Drosophila melanogaster: one gene and its partners. The protein of the gene in region 1 interacts with the protein of each later gene in a pairwise test. Each region holds a gene or a part of one and is shown in the gene's direction. Other genes may lie near its edges.

The links.
Region 2: the proteins of Cyt-b5 (region 1) and Vajk3 interact in a two-hybrid assay, tested with the Drosophila melanogaster proteins (one large-scale study listed by BioGRID).
Region 3: the proteins of Cyt-b5 (region 1) and CG8128 interact in a two-hybrid assay, tested with the Drosophila melanogaster proteins (one large-scale study listed by BioGRID).
Region 4: the proteins of Cyt-b5 (region 1) and CG42359 interact in a two-hybrid assay, tested with the Drosophila melanogaster proteins (one large-scale study listed by BioGRID).

The regions. Positions count from the first base shown.
Region 1 is NT_033778.4:7,530,535-7,536,436, forward strand, and holds Cyt-b5 (cytochrome b5), read left to right. Parts: upstream 1-2,971; 5' UTR 2,972-3,076; coding exon 3,077-3,196; intron 3,197-4,474; coding exon of another isoform or gene 4,475-4,561; intron 4,562-4,797; coding exon 4,798-5,082; 3' UTR 5,083-5,402; downstream 5,403-5,902. Other genes in the region: Gpo2 (glycerophosphate oxidase 2), read left to right, coding at 5,508-5,902. UniProt on the Drosophila melanogaster protein: Cytochrome b5 is a membrane-bound hemoprotein which functions as an electron carrier for several membrane-bound oxygenases.
Region 2 is NT_033779.5:13,944,256-13,949,248, reverse strand, and holds Vajk3 (Vajk3), read left to right. Parts: upstream 1-1,772; 5' UTR 1,773-1,851; intron 1,852-2,121; 5' UTR 2,122-2,148; coding exon 2,149-2,160; intron 2,161-3,198; coding exon 3,199-4,020; 3' UTR 4,021-4,493; downstream 4,494-4,993.
Region 3 is NC_004354.4:15,695,237-15,700,974, forward strand, and holds CG8128 (uncharacterized protein), read left to right. Parts: upstream 1-2,257; 5' UTR 2,258-2,427; intron 2,428-2,796; exon of another isoform or gene 2,797-3,086; 5' UTR 3,087-3,284; coding exon 3,285-3,451; intron 3,452-3,523; coding exon 3,524-3,645; intron 3,646-3,925; coding exon 3,926-4,629; 3' UTR 4,630-4,798; downstream 4,799-5,738. Other genes in the region: CG9240 (uncharacterized protein), read right to left, coding at 5,170-5,571.
Region 4 is NT_033777.3:19,160,280-19,164,770, reverse strand, and holds CG42359 (uncharacterized protein), read left to right. Parts: upstream 1-2,470; 5' UTR 2,471-2,532; coding exon of another isoform or gene 2,533-2,655; intron 2,656-2,731; coding exon of another isoform or gene 2,732-2,981; 5' UTR 2,982-3,020; coding exon 3,021-3,419; 3' UTR 3,420-3,512; downstream 3,513-4,491. Other genes in the region: Nsun5 (Nop2/Sun-like domain containing protein 5), read left to right, coding at 2,533-2,655, 2,732-2,981, 3,547-4,044, 4,108-4,491.

The DNA.
Region 1 (5,902 bases):
AATAAACAAACAACTTACATATGCATGGTGTATAGATAGATAGATACTTACAGTGTTACTTTATGAAAGCGAATGTTCTAAGCTTTTCAGGTTCTGGGTATTTAGCTAAATCTAGTTACATATCTTCTTTTTGGTAAGAAAAATTATTTTTGTCGGTACTCTCATTTTGTATCTTTATCTCAATCAATGCATCAAACTGTTAGCTTGCTGTATCTATGTATGCATCTGTGTATCTACGTATGTCGTGTGTGCGCACCTCTAACTGTTTGCGATTGTTGTTGCTTGTGTTTGCGGAGCGAGGAACGGTGGATGTTTGCATGGTAATGAAACGTTGAGAAGAAACTGATAGGCGTTGGTGAGGGGGCAGCGGCAAGCAAAACAAAACCAAAGTCATGTACACGTGCTCGCTGCATGATAATCACGCCTGAGTGGCATGCCCAGACAGTGAGTGAGTGAGAGAGGGAGCGCGTTGTTTTTCTTTTCTCTCCCTCACTCAATTTGTCTCTCTGTCTCGCTCGCTCCTTGGCGCAGCACGAATGCATAAATGGGCATCCTTCCTCTGCTTTGTTGTTCTTCTTTGTACGGCCCACACAACAACAATGCGTAAATAAGCCGCTATAAATACGCCTTACATTTACGCAGTTACGTTTTACACATTTGCATCCTTACCAAAAAATGTATGTACGTACATACATATATGTATATATTTACATTTATACATATGTATGTATTACTTTTTGGGGTTAATCAACAGCCTCAAACACTGAGAAGAATTATTTTCATAATTAGGCAGAACTTCAGCAAAATGGTCAAAACAAGTTACTTATTGGTGTTAACAACCCCTATATCAATGAATAAGTACACATTTACTTATTATTAACTTACATATGCCATATGCAAACATCAAATATGTATATTAAATCATTAACAATGAAATTTCTTGCAAAAACACAACAAAGAATAAGATAAGATTTATCATCGTTTCACTTTACATTTATAAACATTAAGACTTCGTGGCGATATTTAAGTTGTTTAACCTTAATCTGGTCGAAGGTGAAAGCGAAAGTGACATAACAATTCGTTGAACGAAATTCGCAAAAGCCACAATTAAAAACAGTATGTGTTCAATTAAAAACAGCGACTGAACGAACTCTTTTTCTGACCAATTAAAATCCGTCCCTCGAAGATATACCACCCCCCCCCCCTCCCCATTCGATGTACGGATCAAAAGATCATCGAGCAAGAAAAATATTTACTGAATTATTTATTTATTCATTTTTTTTGTTGCGCTTGAATTGAAAACATTTGTTCGTCAATTCTAGTCAATTGTATTTAATGGCGGAATCAATCGAGTCTAATGACGGATTGGCAATGCAAATTTAGTGGTGCTGTCGCGCCAGGAAAATGTTGACCACTGTCTCACCTTTTCCCCGCCCGAAACGGAAAATGTCGTCAATTATGCAGCAATGAGACATAAAATTTAATTGAATCGCTGGCGGCCAACCGAAGTGAACTCTCGGTGTAAAAAATATGCAGGAACAGGGCTATTTTTAGAGCCTTTGTGTGAGTGAGAATAATGCCTTCGATCGCAATCAAGATCTGAGTTTCCGACTTTGTTTTTCTTGTTTTCCAGTAGTGCGTGTGTGGTACTAATTTACAATCGTCGATTGCGTTTAAATGGGTTATAATAAGTATACTATATCTATATATAAACCAAACCCACACCTAATTTTGGCATTATACTCCACTATTCTGACAAGTAATCAATCACATTACGCCTACCCCAAGAATATCGCATATAACCCGCAATGGATACATAAATCCAGAGCTTGGGTGCTTCTCCTAACACCTTGCACAGGTATCCCCCGGCTGGTAAGTGTTTACTGGCCAGTCAAATCTCCAGGTGCTGATAACCCGAAGACACAAACAATCTGAATGATTTACGGGCCACTCGACTCAGTTTTGGATTGTCCCCCATAAGAGTTGTTTACCCACGGGGCTCCAGAACACGCGTAAATCGGGATCCAAGGGCATGATTGAAGTTGGCAAAACTTAATAACTTTTTAACGCATAAATCCCGTCACTTGAATTACGCATCAGCGAAGCGGAAAAGGAAACATAGTGGTGGATGTATACCAGAGAAAGGAAATCGGACCCAAGAAAATGGCCACCGCACGTAGGCCACTCCAGGATGCCAATTGCGTAATAAGGAACTTACCTTTGTAAAAAAGCTAAAAGCGCTGCGTATCAAAAGCACACCCGCCGTCACTTATCAATATATTTATGCTTAGTTTGTTGTTAACTTGAATTGCGCTATTGGACAGCGCTGTAGCTTTTGGAAAACTCTTCACAATGCGTGTCGACTGTTTTTATTGAAGGAGCGCCGCAGCCGCACGGCGTACAGCAGGATACGTTTGACTTTGAAGTCTCCTTTGCCGAGTATGGAATAAAGGCAGGGCTTGAGTGTAAATACAAGATCCGAGTCTGCGCATTCGTCGCTGGTGGAACCAGTTCGCTGGGATACCGCTCGAAATACATTTTTATTAATGAAATGGTCTGCCCAAAATAAATTTGCTTACGAATTTTGTTTGTACATTTCATTTGAATCGTTTATTTCACTAAAGGGTTTTCTCACATTTCAAATTGGGCGCCAAAATTAATGAGGTGCTTTGGAGCACTGGTCTTATCGCGCCCAAAAGTATGCAGTATTCTTTACATGTCGATGGTAAAATAGCCGTGATCCACTATACAATCGCATCGCATAACCACCGCTCCAAATCCGATATATTGTGTATTGGGTGCTGTAAACAAATTATAAGCTAGATAAATAAGTTATAAGCTATTATATATTATAATAAAATATGTGCTCATACCACAAACAATCTGGCTAGTCTAAACGGTCACTATTCGATATCGATAGGCGTTGGTGTAAACAAGCCATCTTGCTGCGCGCCAGTGTGACCGCCGGCCACCAGTTCTGTGAGACCGTGCGCCCTGGAGGAAGAGTGCGAGGCTGGACAAATAGTTTTTCCGTGACACAAATCAAACGCGCAGTAGAAATCAACAAGTGATCACCATGTCGAGCGAGGAAACAAAGACTTTCACGCGGGCCGAGGTCGCCAAGCACAACACGAACAAGGACACCTGGCTGCTCATACACAACAACATCTACGACGTCACCGCCTTCCTCAACGAGGTGAGAATCGCACGGAACACGTCGCAGCTGAGTGCCACCGCCCCGCACCCGCTCCCACCACTAAATGGGGGTCATCGTTTGCTATTGGGCCTTATCTGGGTTTCACTTGTCCCGATGAGCTAATGGGCCCAGCCCCAGCACAAGCCCAAGCCCACGTAGCCACATGTAGCGACTCTAACTTGCATCGCGGGGCAATTAGGTCTGTACTTTGACCCCCGGACGGTAGTTTGACCTGCGTCCGGATTTCGCAGATTTGCTGCGACGTCGAAACTTCCAGCAGCCACTTTCGCCCAGCTGTCGAAAGAGCTCCACATGGCGAAACTATCCATTTGCATACATGTATATATGTGTGTGATGGGCGACGAGGGTCAAGTGTTAAGCGAAATCCGCGTCTGCATTTGCATCTCATTTGATTAACGGACTCCGATTTGAATTCGGATTCTTATGCAAGTGCACCACCGACAAACCGACTGCCGCCGGCTCCGAAAAGTGTATCACCCTGACGCAGCAGTAGGGTCATCACCAAATCTATACATATAGACTACACAAGCATTCCCGCTATCTGCGGGATCTAAGATAAGCTCTGTGAAAATTCCGATCTAACGATGACGTTGCACTTTAGGTACACGCTGAAAATAACAATAGTGAGAGTGACCAAGCATCTAATTTATAATTCCATTCCAAAGTTTCAGTCCGCCTATCGACCGCAGCCATCCCCAGTCCATGTTTAAAACATGCCCCTAATCTGATCCGCTTGGTCCTCTTCCATCTTAAGGAATAACATTAGCTACTGTTACCTTGCTATCTGCGTAACAGCATCACCAGACAAATCGCAAATTAGACTTCCAGATTTTAGAGCGTTTGCTGGATCTAAAGATTATTTTTTACGTGTTTATTCGTTATTTATTCAACATGATCAGTTTATTTTGACGAATCTTATTCAATGTGTTTCCTGCATATGTATGTTCCGATTTGTCATATATAAACCAACACAGTAATTACAATATAATCATCGAAATTAGATAAGGCTAAGTTGGACTATGTAAAAGTTTAAAGAATTGTGAAAATAATTATGAGATACGCTTATCATCGATTCAATTGCACTCGGCCACCTTGAAGAGTTTGGCTAAAATTACTTTAGCTTATCACTCAGCACAATTGAGGCGAAACAACTTGTTTGCTTTTAATAGTAATTAATAACAATAATTACATCATACTTGCTCCGCGGCTTTTTCAGCATGACTCTAAGCTATAGTACAAAGTTTCAACATTATTATAATGGTACAATCAAAACGTAACTTCGCTCGAGTTCTTAGGATCAAAGTTTCTGTAACTTTATTGGCTTATAAGTGCCAAATTAAATCTGTAACTGAAATTAGTTGTGATATTTTTACTTTCAACGCAACGGAAGTATAAAATATTACCATAAAGCTTCCGCATAAACGAATGTTTCGAAGCATTCCCGACTTTATACCTTGATACCATACCCTCTGCTGTCTGGTCCATGAAATTCAGGGTCAGACGTCCATTAGCATTTATCCAAGATCAGCCAACAGTTATTTATGCGAATATATTAATCTGTCTCTTTTCCTTCACGACAGCATCCCGGTGGCGAAGAGGTGCTCATCGAGCAGGCCGGCAAAGATGCCACGGAGAACTTTGAGGACGTTGGCCACAGCAACGATGCCCGCGACATGATGAAGAAGTACAAAATCGGTGAGCTGGTGGAGAGCGAAAGGACAAGCGTGGCCCAGAAGTCGGAGCCGACCTGGAGCACGGAACAGCAAACCGAGGAGAGTTCTGTGAAGTCGTGGCTGGTGCCCCTCGTCCTGTGCTTGGTGGCCACGCTCTTCTACAAGTTCTTCTTTGGCGGTGCCAAGCAATAGGAGGAGCCACAATGCCCAGCAGAGACTTTCCAGCCCGCTCCGGAGTCGCTTAGTTAATCAACAAACGGAGAGCCCGAGAGTCACATGAGGAGCGGGACAGTGGAGCGGGAAAGCTTTTTATAGTAAATTTGTGCTAAGTTTTAACGATAATTTTTGGCATTTGGCGTTTTTGTACAACCCTCTACACGTGTAATTCCTTCAGACGGCGGTTCTAGACTCTAAAAGTAATTTATCCCATTGATATTCCAACATTTGAGGCACGGAACGAAAACGATAAGTTTTTATTCGCATGTATGTACATTAAACATATTTCCAAAAGCAAGCAAACACCCGTCCAAATTTTTGTGCTTTCGTTAGATGTCAGATATATTGTTGACCCACGCAAAAATAGTCCAAATTTGGTGTGTAAAGCAGGGGGTAATACCATGGCCAAGATCATTCAAATGGCGGTGATGCTGGGCAGCTCCAAGCTGGGCCACGGCGCTTTTGGATTCGATGAAAGGCAAGCGGACTCGACTCCAGTGCCACAGATGAAACGGGAGCTGCCCACGCGAAAGATGTGCCTGGAGGCCTTTAAGCGAACCCACTACGACATCCTCATCATTGGCGGCGGCGCCGTGGGTTCCGGCTGTGCTCTCGATGCTGCCACGCGGGGCTTGAAGACCGCCCTGGTGGAAGCGAATGACTTTGGCAGCGGCACTTCCTCCAAATCGAGCAAACTGTTGCACGGCGGCCTCAGGGATCTGGAGCAGGCCATCTCGCGTCTGGACGTGGCTGCCTTTCGGCGTGTTCGCTGCTCCTTGCAGGAACGCAGCCACAT
Region 2 (4,993 bases), on another chromosome or scaffold:
TACACGCATATCATTTTGGCTGCCAGTCGGCCGATTGGAGCGGAGTCCAACATTCAACAGGTTTCATTTTGCGCATTAACAAATAATTATGCTGGCAATTGCCAAATCACGGACTCAGCCTGGCTGATATATAATCTGATTTTGTGCAAATGCACAAGCATCTAATGCCGCTACTGCAACGGCGACCCATAAAGGCCTTTCACTTTTACGCCACAGTGCAGATCTCACGCATGGCACCCGATCCAGTCACTGTTCCAGTCACAGATCCATTTGCAATCCCCGTTGGTATTCCACTCCACAATCCCACACCCAGCGTTCCGATAATCGATTTCGAGTGCGAAACTTGAGATTCGCAGCCCACGGTTATGCACCGCATCTGTTGCATCACTTTTCACCACCCCCAATCGCAGATAGTATCTATTTTTTCCGCCCGGTGATCACTAAACCATTGTCAATGACATCAAAGATGCCGAGAAATTCCAGAGAGGCAGCTTCCGTTTTTACCTGGTTGTTGCAGGAAGTGCAAAATGGTAACCCGAGTACCCCAAAGGTGGCAAGAAAACCAGAAAGCCTAATTATGACAGCAATAGAAATTGAGACATCACACTCAAATTACTATCTTGCAACAATGTATACTGATATAAAGCAAGTAACTGGTTACAAGTACAGTGAACTTTGATAAATGTTGCTTACTACAATATCAATTACAAAATCAAAGTTTAATGTAATTAATTGCCATTTTTAAAAGATCTGAATCCGGTTAAAAATTAAATACTAAAATCCGGAAAACATTCGGTTCGCCAAATGCATACAAAATTATAAGAAACATTAATTAAGTTATAAATCAAGTTACCGTTAAATCAAGTTCTACGATATTAGATCTGCTAAGTGAATTTGAGATTTATTAAACTCAAATGAAAGAAATTGCTTTGTTACACTTTTGTTTATTGGGCCACAAAATGTTTCGAAATAAATTTTATATTGAAATTATACAAGATTAAAACCAGATTACCCCTTTGAACAATTCCAGATTTATAGACCCTTTGTTTAAAATGCGAGCCGAACGTATAAATATGATACTAATAAGCAAGTTTTTTTTTTTTTTTAATTAATGGAATCAAAACAAAATCTAGTTGAATTTCCATTAGGTAGACTCAGAATTATTGATATTAGGAATCAGGTTCGACCAAAACTGCTGACTTCTGAAACTTGACAAACAAAACATAACGACTTTGATAGACATATGACCTTTCGTTGAAATCTATATTTTTGGGAACAACTTGCTAAGAAGCCCGAAGACTTTTTATCCAAATAAAACAAAAAAAAAACAAGAAAGGATTGCTAGTACGTTCTGCGGGATTTTCCCAATATAAATTTCAATTCAAGATTTAGTTAATTTATTTTATTTGCTTTTTATGTTCCCAAATTGATTTGATCACATTTGCACCCATATTTTATAAGCCACTTTCAAGTTGGCGGCTAAAGTCACCAATACACACAGAGAAAAGCCGCAATTGCGTGAGTATTGGTGGCATGCCAGTGTATTGGTGAGCGCTTCCGCTTGCAACTTTCCGTGCCGCACTAATACACACAAATATAACCAATACAAGCGCAAACCAAGCCGAACTCAGAGCTTTGAAGAGAGCAATTAGGCTGGTTTGTGGTGGGAAAAGCTTTTGGAAACCGCTGAGCGACTTGGTTTGGCGGTGTTTTCAGTTTCGTTTTGACACAAAAACTCTTTGGGGGTATAAAAGCGCGCCACTGACCACAGACAGCATCCAGTCAAAGGTTTGGAATCGCTAGTGATTCTACAATCCTTCCACAGTCTATTTCGCTGTTACTGAGTTGCTTGTAAGTGAAGCCAAATGCCAAGTTAATTTTTGTTTGTTTCTAAAATGCGTGTAGTCTATGTGAAACGGAAATAAAGTTTAAGCTGTGATCTAAAAGTTATAAACTAATAACTGTGCGAGCCGTGTGCTCTAAATAACTTCAATTTTCCAAGGAACATTTTCCCAAAGAACAGATTGTTAATACCAATTAAAGTGCTGATCTTATAAAAAAAAAAATATCTATGCTGCATTTCGTATAAATAATCTTATTGTTTTCTTTGTTTACTTACAGCCTTGGCAAGTCCCATTAGACTCCACAATGAAAGTATTCGTAAGTACAACAGACATATAGTAATTAGACATATAGAATTTAGTTTGATATGTAAATGGGTACGAGTATGTGAACTATCGCTGTTGGTAGCATATTTTAGTGTGAGAAATCAAGTAATAATTCAAAGAATTGCATACAGAACAATGCTGACATGAACTAATTGGAACAATATAGCCTTTTGCATTGCAAATGCCTCACATTGTTTACCTGGCCATCTTCAACAACAAACAACTTCCTGAAACAATTCAATCCGATAAATTTCCTTAATCAAAGGTGAAATGCTCGCAAACGACCAAATTCAACTTGAACGACATGGCTAATAAGCGTTTATTAACTGAACGATCATAATTGGAGTGCCAGCCACGTTTATTACCAGGCCGTAATCAACTGGGTTCATGTGCTCAATTAAAGCCAGCTCCAAATGCATTCGCTGAGTTGCCCACTGCGTATGCGTAACGTGACGCCAGTCGGTTGAGGCGTATTGCGGAAACTGGGCGTGGCAGTGGGCGATGACTGCACTGCATCATTTATGCCAGGCACGCACAAATTTCACTTGACCATTTGAATCGCGAAAGAGGGCGATGAGACAACGGACGACACAATGCGAATCGGGCCACATATCGCCTATCGCCTTCGCTTTCTATTGCGATTAGGTAATCGATCAAACTAGGCAATGGGTGATAAAAGTCAACGTTTTCGTTAGGCAATTTATGTAGGTTGCATATCTTGAATTGTTTTATCATAGAGAAGCTTCAAATACTTAAAGAATAGACTATACGAATTTCATGATAGATGAGTTTGCACAGTTGAGAATTCGAAGATAGTATGACTAAATTTTATTTCATTTCATTTTGAAATAGATTTAAACTATATTTGCAAGGAATCAAGTTCTACTTACTAACTTAGTTATTGTGAAATAAACTATTAAGAAATCACAAATATCTAGAATTTTGCTAGAAAATTAATATATTATTATTATTTAAAAGTCTCTAAAATGCATAGTTTCATAACCAATCGCACCAACTCAATTCTTTGCAGATCTGCTTAGCCGCTCTGCTGGTGGCCTCCGCCTGCGCCAGCAAAACCGAGGGTGAGAAGGTGCCGCTGGAGAAGAAGCTGGACAAGCGCGGCCTGCTCGATCTGGGCTACGGCTACGGTCATGCTGGTCTGGACACCGGCTACCTGGGACATGGTTCCATCTCCGGCCACGGAAGCTACGGACATGGCTACGGACTGACCGGATACTCCGCACCCGCTGCCGTCGCCGTGGGCCACAGTGGTCCCGCGATCGCCGTTGGACACACTGCTCCCGCCGTCGCTGTCCACCACGCTCCCGCCCCCTATGTGATCAGCAAGCAGGCCGATGTGCACAAGACCATCACCATCACCAAGGGAATCCCAGTGCCCGTGCATGTGGACCGCCCCTATCCCGTCGTCCATGAGAAGCGCGTGCCCGTCGAAGTTAAGGTGCCCGTGCCCCAGCCCTACGAAGTCATCCGCAAGGTGCCCGTGACCGTTAAGGAGTACGTCAAGGTGCCCGTGCCAGTGCCCCAGCCCTACGAAGTGATCCGTCACGAGAAGGTGCCCGTCCATGTGCCCGTCGATCGCCCAGTGCCCGTTGAGGTGCCCAGGCCCTACCCCGTGCCAGTGGCCAAGCCCTACCCTGTCTACGTGGAGAAGGCCGTCAATGTCCAGGTGCCCGTGCATGTGGATCGTCCCTACCCCGTCTACGTGAAGGTGCCCGTGGTGTCCCACTCCGTGGTCAAGCACGCACCCACCGTTGCCGTCAGCAGCTACCCTGTTAGCGCCATTGGCCACGATGCCACCGTCTACTCCGACCACCATGGTTACCACAAGTAAGCGGACGGAATGGACCGGAAGCAGGCGAATCTATTGGAGCGAGCGGACTTAATGGAAATGAGCCGAAGGATATCTAGCAACATTTTCAATTATCTTCCCCACTCTCTCCACCTGTCGGCCTTCCTTTCCAAAACCGAGCGCAGAAGCAAACTCTTAAAATACCCCCTGGAAGTCAAACTTCCGCCCTGCCACACTCTCTGTAGCTGATAAGAACCCCCAAGATGAAACAAGCAATGCCTTTTGTAAATTATTTCCAATCCAGCCATCCAATGGAAGCCATTGTGCTGGGCCAAGAACTCCAGGTTTAGGATAAATACCAGCTAACTGTTTGTAAATTTCGCCATTTATGAACAGTTTAGCTGGCCAAGTTTATCAGTGAAAGGTTTCGGCGCACAATGAATTGAATGGATAATAAGAACAGAAATATCTATGTGAAAATCTATTAAGGACAAATAAAATAAAATGTATAAAATAAATTTCACTGTCTTTATCACTGGTTAGCTGCTGGAAATAGTTTGTCATAGGGTTCTTTGTAATTGTATATCTTGTAAATATATTTTGTAAATAAAGAGTATGTTGTTATTAAACAGCTGTCGTTTTTGATTTGGTGGCTACTCAACATAAATAATATTTAAAAAATGTATTTTTACTAGACTTTTTGAGGATCATTTTCTGGAATATTTACAGCTCTCTAATAATATTTATTAAATAGACGGAATGGTTCAAAAACTTTATGTTCCGATCACTTTAATAAAAAGTTATACGAAGACCCTTTAATCTTGCAAGGTAACAAGTAGGATACCAGTAATTATTTCAAGCCAAGAGATGCGAATTATGCATACCTGTAATTAAGTACAGCTTAAGTTGTAATAAATCAATAATACTCAGTCACAATAAAAACAGATGTCTTGACGCCTTCCTGATCCTTAAACCCGAAAATCCTCTCACCAGTCAGTCAGCTGAGATGACATGA
Region 3 (5,738 bases), on another chromosome or scaffold:
AAAATGGCTTAATAGTAGTTAATTTTCCGCTTGTCACGCCTTCAGTGAAAAATCCAACAAAAAAATATTACTCATTACCCGTTTACTCATTCGAATAAAGCTTATGCACTGTGACAAAAAAAAAAGAAAAAATAAAAAGAAAAACCTGATGCCTTCAGCTGGCAAAGGCACACACCCACCGACTGGAAATGGGGAAAAATCGACGTTAATTTATTTCAATTTCCAAACCATTGTCTGAATATAAACAGTTCGTTAGCGAACCCAACCAGTTTTCCTAGGAGTTTTTCAAACTTTTATTAGACAAATACGAGAACGGGACACTTGAAATTACGCTTAATTGGCGGCGAAACAATGCTGAATGCCGAGGGCATTACGGGTATAAATGATAAGGAAAACTCCCTAATTACAAACAAGAATTTTCCGGGTGCGCGCAAAATAGTGAAGGAAATACAAAGAAAAGGGTTGACGAAGATCGCGCCTGGGAACCTAATAACCCCGATTTTCCACCAACTTCGACATTGGAGTTGAAGTTTTCGATAAGCCGGCGATGGAAAATAGATATATATATATATATATATGTGTGTATATGTACGTGTCCCCAAACAGCCATAGATTTTTTAATAAATATTTGAGATGGCATTTTCACTTAAGCCACGGCATGGAAATCCATTGTGTGCAAACAGGAGGTTGGTTAGCAACCCTAAGCGGAAAATTTGTTTAAACAACTGAGCAAATATCGCCCGCTGGAGAGGGGTAACTTTTTTATGTACTCCCTCTTCGCATATTTTTTTTTTTTTGGGAATTTCCCCCCCAAAAAACAAAAAGAAATTGAAAATTGCTAAGCCGGCAATCAAAATACAAACATCAGGCGAAACTCAACGAGTACCATTGTTGTCCAACTGAAGCACCTGAATTTATGGCACAAGGACATACCACCACACACACACACACACACCTCCCCCCCCCACACACACACAACTACCACCCCCCTGGTGAGTCACGGTTTAAATGTGCATTTCGCAACACATTTACGATCCTTTCTACTCGTAATCCCTTCAATCGCGCTCTAAACTGCTAACTGGTTCCTGATTCCCCAGGATTCCTGGTCGCTGGCGCTTTGTTGCTCTAAATAGCCCTTTCCAAATCACTGGACTCGCACAAAGGACTCGCCCTCAATTGCGCAACTATTTCGATTTCAAAAAAAAAAAATCAAATTAAATAAAATAAAATAAGTGAAGAGGAGAGAAATGGGCCAAACTGGGCGCGCAGCCAAAGAGGATATTTAGTTATATATGAAAATAAAGTTTCAAAGGATCTCAACTATAGAATTTGAAGGCACCTATTGGCCTATTAAAACGATTTATACAGATATGTTTCTTTTCGTATTCAAGTAAAGTAAAAAGGCGAAAAAATTAAAAATGGAACAGTAGCTCCAAGATGACCAACGATGACGGTCAAGAGACGGATGCGGGCTCCACAGTCCAAGAAGGTGATATCGTTCTTCAAGAATCATCGCCGCATGCTCCGCAGGCAGGGCATCGAGGATCTGCTGCATCTGGCCGAACGTGGCCACGTCGAACCGATTAGAGATAGAGACTAGGAGATCGGCATCGAATGCTACATATACGGTATTTATTCCACATTTCCATTCAAATTTGAAAAGCTTAGTTTAAGTTCTAGGATTATTGAATTCCTCTTGCATTTAAATATTTTGTAGTCTACTTTTAGCCGTCTTTAAGAACGACTTCAACCCTCTGCTAATCAGAATGTTAATTCTAAAGCTGGTCGCATTTCTTATTAGAATAGCGTTAGATGTTTTGCGTACTCATCAAAAATTTCCCAATTGAATTAATCATTACTTATGCTACTACTTATGCAGCATTGTCCTTCCTGGCATTGACTGTGACTATTACTATATTATTGTAGGAAGGACTGCACGCATACCAAGAGCGCGATAAATAGCGATGACAGCAGCGAATTTTCCCGCAACGAAGCCGACGACCAGCGAACTTAAGCTCTTTTGGCCATCTAAAGGATGGAAACATTCGATATATTAGCCAAGCCGCTAGCCAGTAACTTATATAACCCATATTAGCTATTTCAAGATTTAATAAATTGTTCCGGAGGCCATATATTTAAAAAATGTTGGTTTGCTCATATTTGATTTTTAACCATTACATATAAGGCTGAACAGCTTTTTCTAGCCAGGCTGGCAGCACTGCCGGATCAGCTGACTGACTTTTCTGTGTGCGCGCCATCCCTAGAAATTAACGTGCTAGTGGAAGTGGAAGCGAATTGAAATCGCGCGCTGCTCTATTCGCTTGTTTATGCCAAAGTCCATGGCTACATTGGATCGGATCTGTAATTAGTCGTCTGGAGGAACTGGACGGATTGGCTCAGTGACACCATTAGCCATTGACTTTTCTAGTGAGTTCGAGTTCCACACAATGTTCTATTCTAGCGCAGATATGGAATAAAAAAAAATATATTTGGCTTGGTTTGTTATGTAAAACGCGTATCAATTCTCTGGCGCGTTGATAACAGCAGCAATTCAGTTGATAAACAAACACAAAACCCATGCGGAAACAATTGAAACGACCCCACACCCCAACACCGCCACCCACCACCCACACGCACCTTGGGTTGTCGCTCAAGGTTGCGCTAGAGATGAGCAGGAAGCAGTGACTGCTATCGTGATTGCCATTAATATTAGTATTAGTATTAGTATAGTGATAACACAGTTTTTTATATATATGTACATATATAGTGATACTTTCAGTTGAATCTATATTTTAGTTTCATTATACTCATGTCACCGGTTTTCTGTCAAAGTCACACTGTTCTGCGCATCTCTATCGCCACTATTTGTTACTGACGTTAGCGCCAAATTCGAAATGTCAAGAACAGAAATCCGAACGTAACAGCGGCCATATCGCTTATCTAGCGACGGCGGCAGATAGTGGCAACCTGCTCCTCCGTCTCGCTCTGCTCCGCCCATCGCAGCAGATTTGCATCGTTGTTTGGAGCCATGCGGCTATTTCACCTCTTTCACCTGTCTGTTTGCCTCGTTTCACACACACACACAGCATGCCCAGGAATTGGCTTCACCTCGCATTGTGGATAAACTGAGACGGTAAAGTCGTTGTCGCCGCCACCGCCTCCGCCACGCCCACCAAGCGGACAGCACCCAGATCTCCGGTTGCGAACTAGTAGTGACGCCAACGTGGTCGATCGCCGTCGTCGTCATCAACAACGTTGTGTTCGTCGAACTGTGAGATTATTTAATGTTGGCCACCGGTTTTCTGGCTCGCAGAACCGTACTTAACCAGCCGGCGTTCAATTCATGGAGCACACTCCTCCGGACCGCTAGAAAACGACCCACATCCACGGTTGCCGCCAGAGTTCCATTAAAGCTTCAGTCACAGCAGCAATTTACAAGAGCATACTCGTCGTAAGAATTGAAAGATGTACATACATATGTATTTAACACATGATTGAAAACTATTTGTATCCCACGATTTAGCTCCAAAACCATGGACACGCCGGCGGATGTATTCCGCGGCATTACGGATCGATTTGCCGGAGTAACAGTCGATGGGCGCGAGGAGAACGTGGACAAATCCAGTTTCCGGGACAAGCTCACAAGTAAGAATATATATCTTAAAATATGTCGGTATCTTTGCCTGGACGTATATTTTTTGTATCATTGTATCTTCTAAGTCTTCGTGCTATCATAAGTTGATTAAAAGTTTATCTATCTAAAGTTGGGGTACTAAATTAAATTTCCAAAATCATTGCTCTCCACTTTTATCAATTTAAAAGTTGTCTATGACTATAAATAGTCATAGACAATAAACGGCTTATAATTTTAATTAAATCTGTGTCACCAATTACCAAATTATATTAATAACGAAATACCTTTTAGAATCCCTGGACTTTTGGACGACGAACAAGAACCGGGCCATTTGGTTCCGCGTGTACAAGGAGCAGGCTGATTGGGTGCCCATTCTGGCGGAGAACGGCTTTGATTTCCATCATGCCAAGACCGGTGTGGTGGTCATGTACCGCTGGTTGCCGGAGCACGAGTCTAGCAACCTACCCACCTACGCCCACACGCTAATGGGCGTCGGCGGACTGGTTATCAACGAACAGGACGAGGTGCTGGTGGTGTCCGATCGTTTTGCAATGATACCAAACAGCTGGAAGCTGCCCGGCGGCTATGTGGAGCCGCGGGAGAATCTCATCGATGCGGCAATACGAGAGGTGGCCGAGGAGACGGGAATCCGCACCGAATTCCGCTCAGTGGTCAGTCTGCGGCATGCCCATGGCGGCACCTTCGGCTGCTCCGACATGTACGTGGTCATCGCCCTAAAGCCACTGAATTTGGACTTTACGCGCTGCGAACGCGAGATAGCGCGCATCCAGTGGATGCCCATCGCGGAGTATCTGAAGCATCCGCAGGTCCACGAGACGAACAGGCAGTTCGTCTGCACCTTTTTGGACTACCAGAAGCGCGGCCTGACCCTCACCTGTCGCGACGAAGTGCATCAGGTGCTAAAGAAGAAATACAATCTGTATTACGTGGATCGGGAGCAGCCACAGGAGCAGCAGGATAAAAAGAATTCGTGAGACTTGTCGGTGCAATGGCCAAATCCTTAGTGCAATTTTTATAAAGTCCTTTCTTCCAAAAGCCAGCAGCATCACAACTGCGCATTCAAATGTTCACAATGTAGTCAATAAATGAATTTTTTTGTATATAATTATATGCATATATCAATTAAAGCTCACACAGCCTTTTACAAAAGCTTTTCTTTTGATACCATTTTTAGAAACGCCAATAATTTAAAATATGGCATTATTTTGAATATGACGCCCAAACATGGTAAATACTTCCTTAGAAGGTAAGCCAATAAGGATTAAGGATGTAAGCTTCATACTTTGAAAAATATGTTTATTAAAAACAAAAATGAAAAGAAATTATTATTCTCTCCTGTTTTTTTCAACTTATTTTCAATGATATGCAAAAACCAGAAGTCGCACAAATGAGACGAAACTCGCATACGTAATGATTCTAAAAAGTTGTGGTTTGATGTACTATAATTTCCAAACGAAACATAGGCCATTTATTGGGTCAAGTTGATTTTAAACTCTTTGTTGTACGAATGCCATCTATAGACCCGTGGCCTCGGATATCGGCCAGATGCGGCAGAGCACGCGGCTCCGGATGAGGCCCACCGGAATGGGTCCGTAGTAGCGGGAATCCGAGCTGTTTCCCTTGTTGTCACCCTCAATCCAAACGTGTCCGCGCGGCACATAGTCCTTGACCATCACGGGCTTCTTCTTGTCATCCGAATTACCACTAAACTCCGCCTCAATGGGAATGGGCTTCTGGATTAGCACCTGATCACCGGAAACGGCCACGATACGCTTGCAAATGAACTGATCGGCTTTGATGGGCGATATGGCGATGACTATGTCGCCGGGCTGGTAGGTTCGCCAGTGTTTCGACAAGCGCTCGGTGAGAAGAACGTTGTCCGAGTGCAGGGTGGGCTCCATGGAGGGTCCTTTGCACTGGAAATGGTTGCATTAATGTGAGTGTACGTACTTTTCCGCAAAAGAAGGATATCAAGTGGAAGTTACACAAGGTGGAAAAACAAGTGGAGAGTACCTTAATGCATTCACACGAACTATGTGATGCTGGCACATGTTGGGCAAGTATACCCGCCCAGGAACTTCAT
Region 4 (4,491 bases), on another chromosome or scaffold:
GCCTGTTTCGCACACTGACACACTCACACACACTGGCGCAGGTGATTTGTTTGTGGTCTGCGGCACTCTATTTTCGTACTTTTGTTTGTTTTTGGGCACCCCTTGCGATTGATTTATTTAGCGAAAATTAGCGAATTTAGTGGGGATTTGCGTAGTTTGCTACGTTCTGCTTTGCCGTCGGGCCTCTCTTTCGCACACAGAAGAGACTCTCGAGTGGCAACAAGAAAAAATGGCCGCGCACGCCAAAAATACACACACACACCAACGCACACACACGGCAAGCTTATGTTTTTTTTTGCTTTTTCTGCACTTGTGCTTTTTTGCCCTTCTTGTATCGGACTCCCGAAATATTAGTTTTTTCAGCGACCAACAACGATTAATTGCATTTACAACGAACACGTTGCGAGGGGGGCGTGGAGCTGGAGCAGTTGGGGGCGTAAGCTCCGCTCTTCGGTTGTTTACGTCGCGGCAAACGCAAAAAAACACCAACAGAAGCAGCAGAACAGGAGGAGCTAGAATAACTGTTCGTGTTCACGACCGTCGAAAAACTGACTGAAAAAAAATCACAGCGAAGAGCGTCTTTTTTCAGAAGTTGTTTTTCGCTCTCTTCTCTCTCCGCACAAACGCACACTAGTGAAAAAGGCTTGTTTATGTTTTTTATGTGTGCGCTCTCACTCTCTCGCGCTCTTTTTTGTTCCCGGCGCCACAGAGTTTTTTTTCGGTTTCGGGGAGGAGGCGTGCTCTTTTTTTCGAATACCAAATTTAATTGGGCCAAATTCTGGGGAGAGAAAAACAAAAAGAACATATAATATCCTGCATCCTTTCTGCAGTGCCATTGCCCTGACTTTTGGCGGTATTTTCTATTTTTGGGAATCTGAAATTACAATTTAAGCTTTTAGCGAATCCTAATCTAGGAAACAGCAATAGTGGTACATAAGGTCCTCCGTGCTGGACATGATGCACATCACCCGGAACAGTGGCACAAAGAGTTTATCCAAAATATTAGGATGTTCTCCTGGCTGTATTGAAAATTCCGTGCCACTGGATCTTCGCCTATGAGCTGTTGAACTTTGTTACCATTTTATAACTTACACTTACATATGTATATTATTATAATCTATTATATAATATCAATGTTATTGTAATTATATTATTTTGCGCGCTGAATTCATGCCTATGCGATTCTATTGTATAAATATATATGTATTTATATATATGCATTTGTTAATACTTCTGAAAAAGAAAATGAAGAACTTAAATATCCGTTACATATTATATAATATTATTGATAATATTATTATAAGAAAAATATGTCTTGAAGATCAAATTGAAGATAAGAATTTTAAAGTTCCGGAAACTGATAATTATTTTATAACTCCTCATAATTTTTAAGGTTTTTTTTTTTACAAAATCAAAACATTTTTTGTTGTTTACCCTTGAAATATTTCTTTATTCACATTTTCTACATTAAAGTGCTGCGCCAAATATAAAATTTGAGCCTCCAAAAGAATTAAAAAATTTAACTTAAAAATAAAAAATATTAATTTATGTATATTTGAAATTAAGCAGCAGTCAAAGTTATTTTAGTAGTTTATTGATGTTTAGTGGGCTAAGATTGTTCCTGAGGGGAGTTCCGCTGTGCACCACAATGGACTGAAATGAATATTCCCGGATTCCTTCTTCATTTCCGCCAGCGGTTAAAACCTGCAAAGTGACAGTGTGTCAGTTTTAATAACTAAAAAGAAAGTGCAAGTATCTACCGATTCATTTACATGGATATCAGTCGTGATTTTCGAGGAGACTCTTTTCTGAAAGTCGAATTGAAAGCGTTAAAAGCCAATACAAAAGTTTCCGGGTGCTGGCTGATGGACTCAACGTCTGTTCTTCGCACCAAGGACATTGTAGGATGCGATCCTCAGCCTTGATATCGTCTATCAACTCCTGGGCAAACATAGAAAGGTACGTTTCCTTAAAGTCCTTAAAGAATAGCGTGCTTCATTTTAATATTTTTTAATTAAAGCAGCCGTACAGACCCCAAAACAAACGACACACCAGAAACAAATTGGAAAAAACTTGATTTAATTCCAATTTACCAACTTATGCACGATAAATAAAAGCATGATTCTAAATTTTGGTAAACCTCCAAGAACGCGCACACTTTGACATTTTAAACTGCGGCTTTATCGCGCCAAAATTTTTAACCATGAAAATATTCTTGTGTTGGCAATGCTTGAAGTACAGTAATTTTTGCTCGCAACGTATGGCCACACTGCCAATTTATTTGTAAATTTGATACCCTGTATGTAAATATATTGGATAGAACATATATGTTTTGTAGTTATCGTTGGCAAAATTAGAACAACCTTTACATTAATTGTAGATATTTTCAAAACATGAATAACAATATGATTTGTTTCAAACGCCACATGCTTATCTCCAGCCCTGACATTCGATAAGCATATATCGATAAAGTCGTGATTGGGGTTGCACCTATTCTAGCGCAAACAACACATACACGTGCACGTGACGACAATGAGTAAAAAACCGCATTCCATAAAAGTTCCCACCCAATACAGGGCGACTGCCAAGATTTTGAAGGCGGCACTGGAGCAGCAGAAGTGCATCAAGACCCTAATATTTGCAGAGAAGCATGCCGTAAGTGGATTGGACCTCTCGTCCGCAGATCAAACCAATATGCGTATAACTTTTCCCTCTCGCACTTCACTTGTAGCGTACACGCTCTTTGCATACGGTTCTGAAAAAATTTAGCGAAAATCGTGTGGCACTGGAAAAGGCCATCGAAGAGACAGGACTGCTCAGGGACAATCCCAGTTTTGATCCCAGTTTGGCCAAGATTCTAGTCACCGAACTGCTGTTTGGCAGGAAGGAGCTGAACGGCGAAAGCAAACCCGTGCAAACGGTGCGAAGTTACAAGGATCGACTGCTAAATTCCATCAGAGATTTCGGTGTCCAGCGAAAAGGCAGGTTATCACACCGATTACCAGTATTAGCCGGCTGAGATGGGCAAGAAGAACAGGAAACAACAGCATGTCGATGTGGTGCCAGCTACCACTGATGATTCCCCGGCTGTCATTGATTCTCCCGTGGAGCATCATACGCAGCAGGAGGACACCAGTGCGGAGGTCTTCCTCTGGCTGTTGGCCTACAGTGTGCTCATGTTCACGCTGCCCTTCTTGGGCTTCTATGGCGTCCGCAGCTGGCTGCAGGAGTCCTTCCCCCATTTGGACCTTTTCACGGTCAACTGTTGGTCAGTTCTCACGGCTGTTGTGGTTGTTAACCTCGTGGTGGCCATGTATGTATTAAAGGCTTTCCGCGAGAAGCCCCCACCACCCTTGGAACCCGTGCAGCAGGATGAGGACGACGAGCCGGAAGCTGCGGAGCCAAAGAAAGAACAGTAACTTAAGTGCTGCCAGCCAAGTCCAGATTATTTCGATCGTTTAAAGGACCAGTAACGACTCTTAACAACTCTTAATAAATCTTACTTTGGCTACAATTTTGAACTCGTCTTTTTGTTTGCCCACACAGAACCCAATCCTCGATATGTGCGCATCAACACAAATCTATACAGCTTGGCGGAGGCCTTGGACTACCTGCATAAAAGCGACTGGCGGCGCAAGGAGCTGCCTGCGGACGCCAGCTATGCGGATTTTCTGACTGCCATCAAATCGCTGGCGGAGAACGAGTTCATGACCGATCTGCACGTTGAGGGTGTGCTCATTTTTCCTGCCAAGTGGTCCAACTACTGGGTCCGCCATCCGTTGGTGCACAGCAAGAGGTTTATACTGCAGAACAAGGCCACCTGTTTGGCCGCCGAACTACTTGCTCCGCCGTCTGGGGCCACTGTGCTGGATATGTGCGCAGCTCCCGGTATGAAGACAGTGCACATATGCAATGTGATGCAGAACAAGGGATGCATCTACTCCGTGGAGCAGGACCACGTACGCTACAATACGCTGTGCGAAATAACAAAGGATGCTGGTTGCGATATTGTAAAACCCATTTTGGGAGACGCCTTGAACCTAAGTGAGTTTTATATTTATATATTTCACAATGAATATTTAAAAAAGTAACACGTTTGAATTTCAGCACCCGAACGCTTTCCGGACGTAGAGTACATCCTGGTGGACCCTAGTTGCTCTGGCAGCGGAATGCAAAACCGCATGACCGTGTGCGACGAGCCGAAGGAGGACAAGCGGCTGCAAAAGCTGCAGGGTTTGCAAATTAAGATCCTGTCGCACGCGATGGGCGCCTTTCCGAACGTCAAACGCATTGCCTACTGCACGTGTTCGCTGTGGAAGGAGGAAAACGAGCAGGTGGTGCAGCGTTGTCTTCAGCTAAATCCATCCTTCAAGCTGCTCAGCTGCAAGAAGGCCTTGCGCAACAAGTGGCACAATGTGGGCGACAAGGACTATCCCAATATTGGCAAGAACGTCCTGTATTGCCAGCCGGACAGTGATCTTACCGATGGCA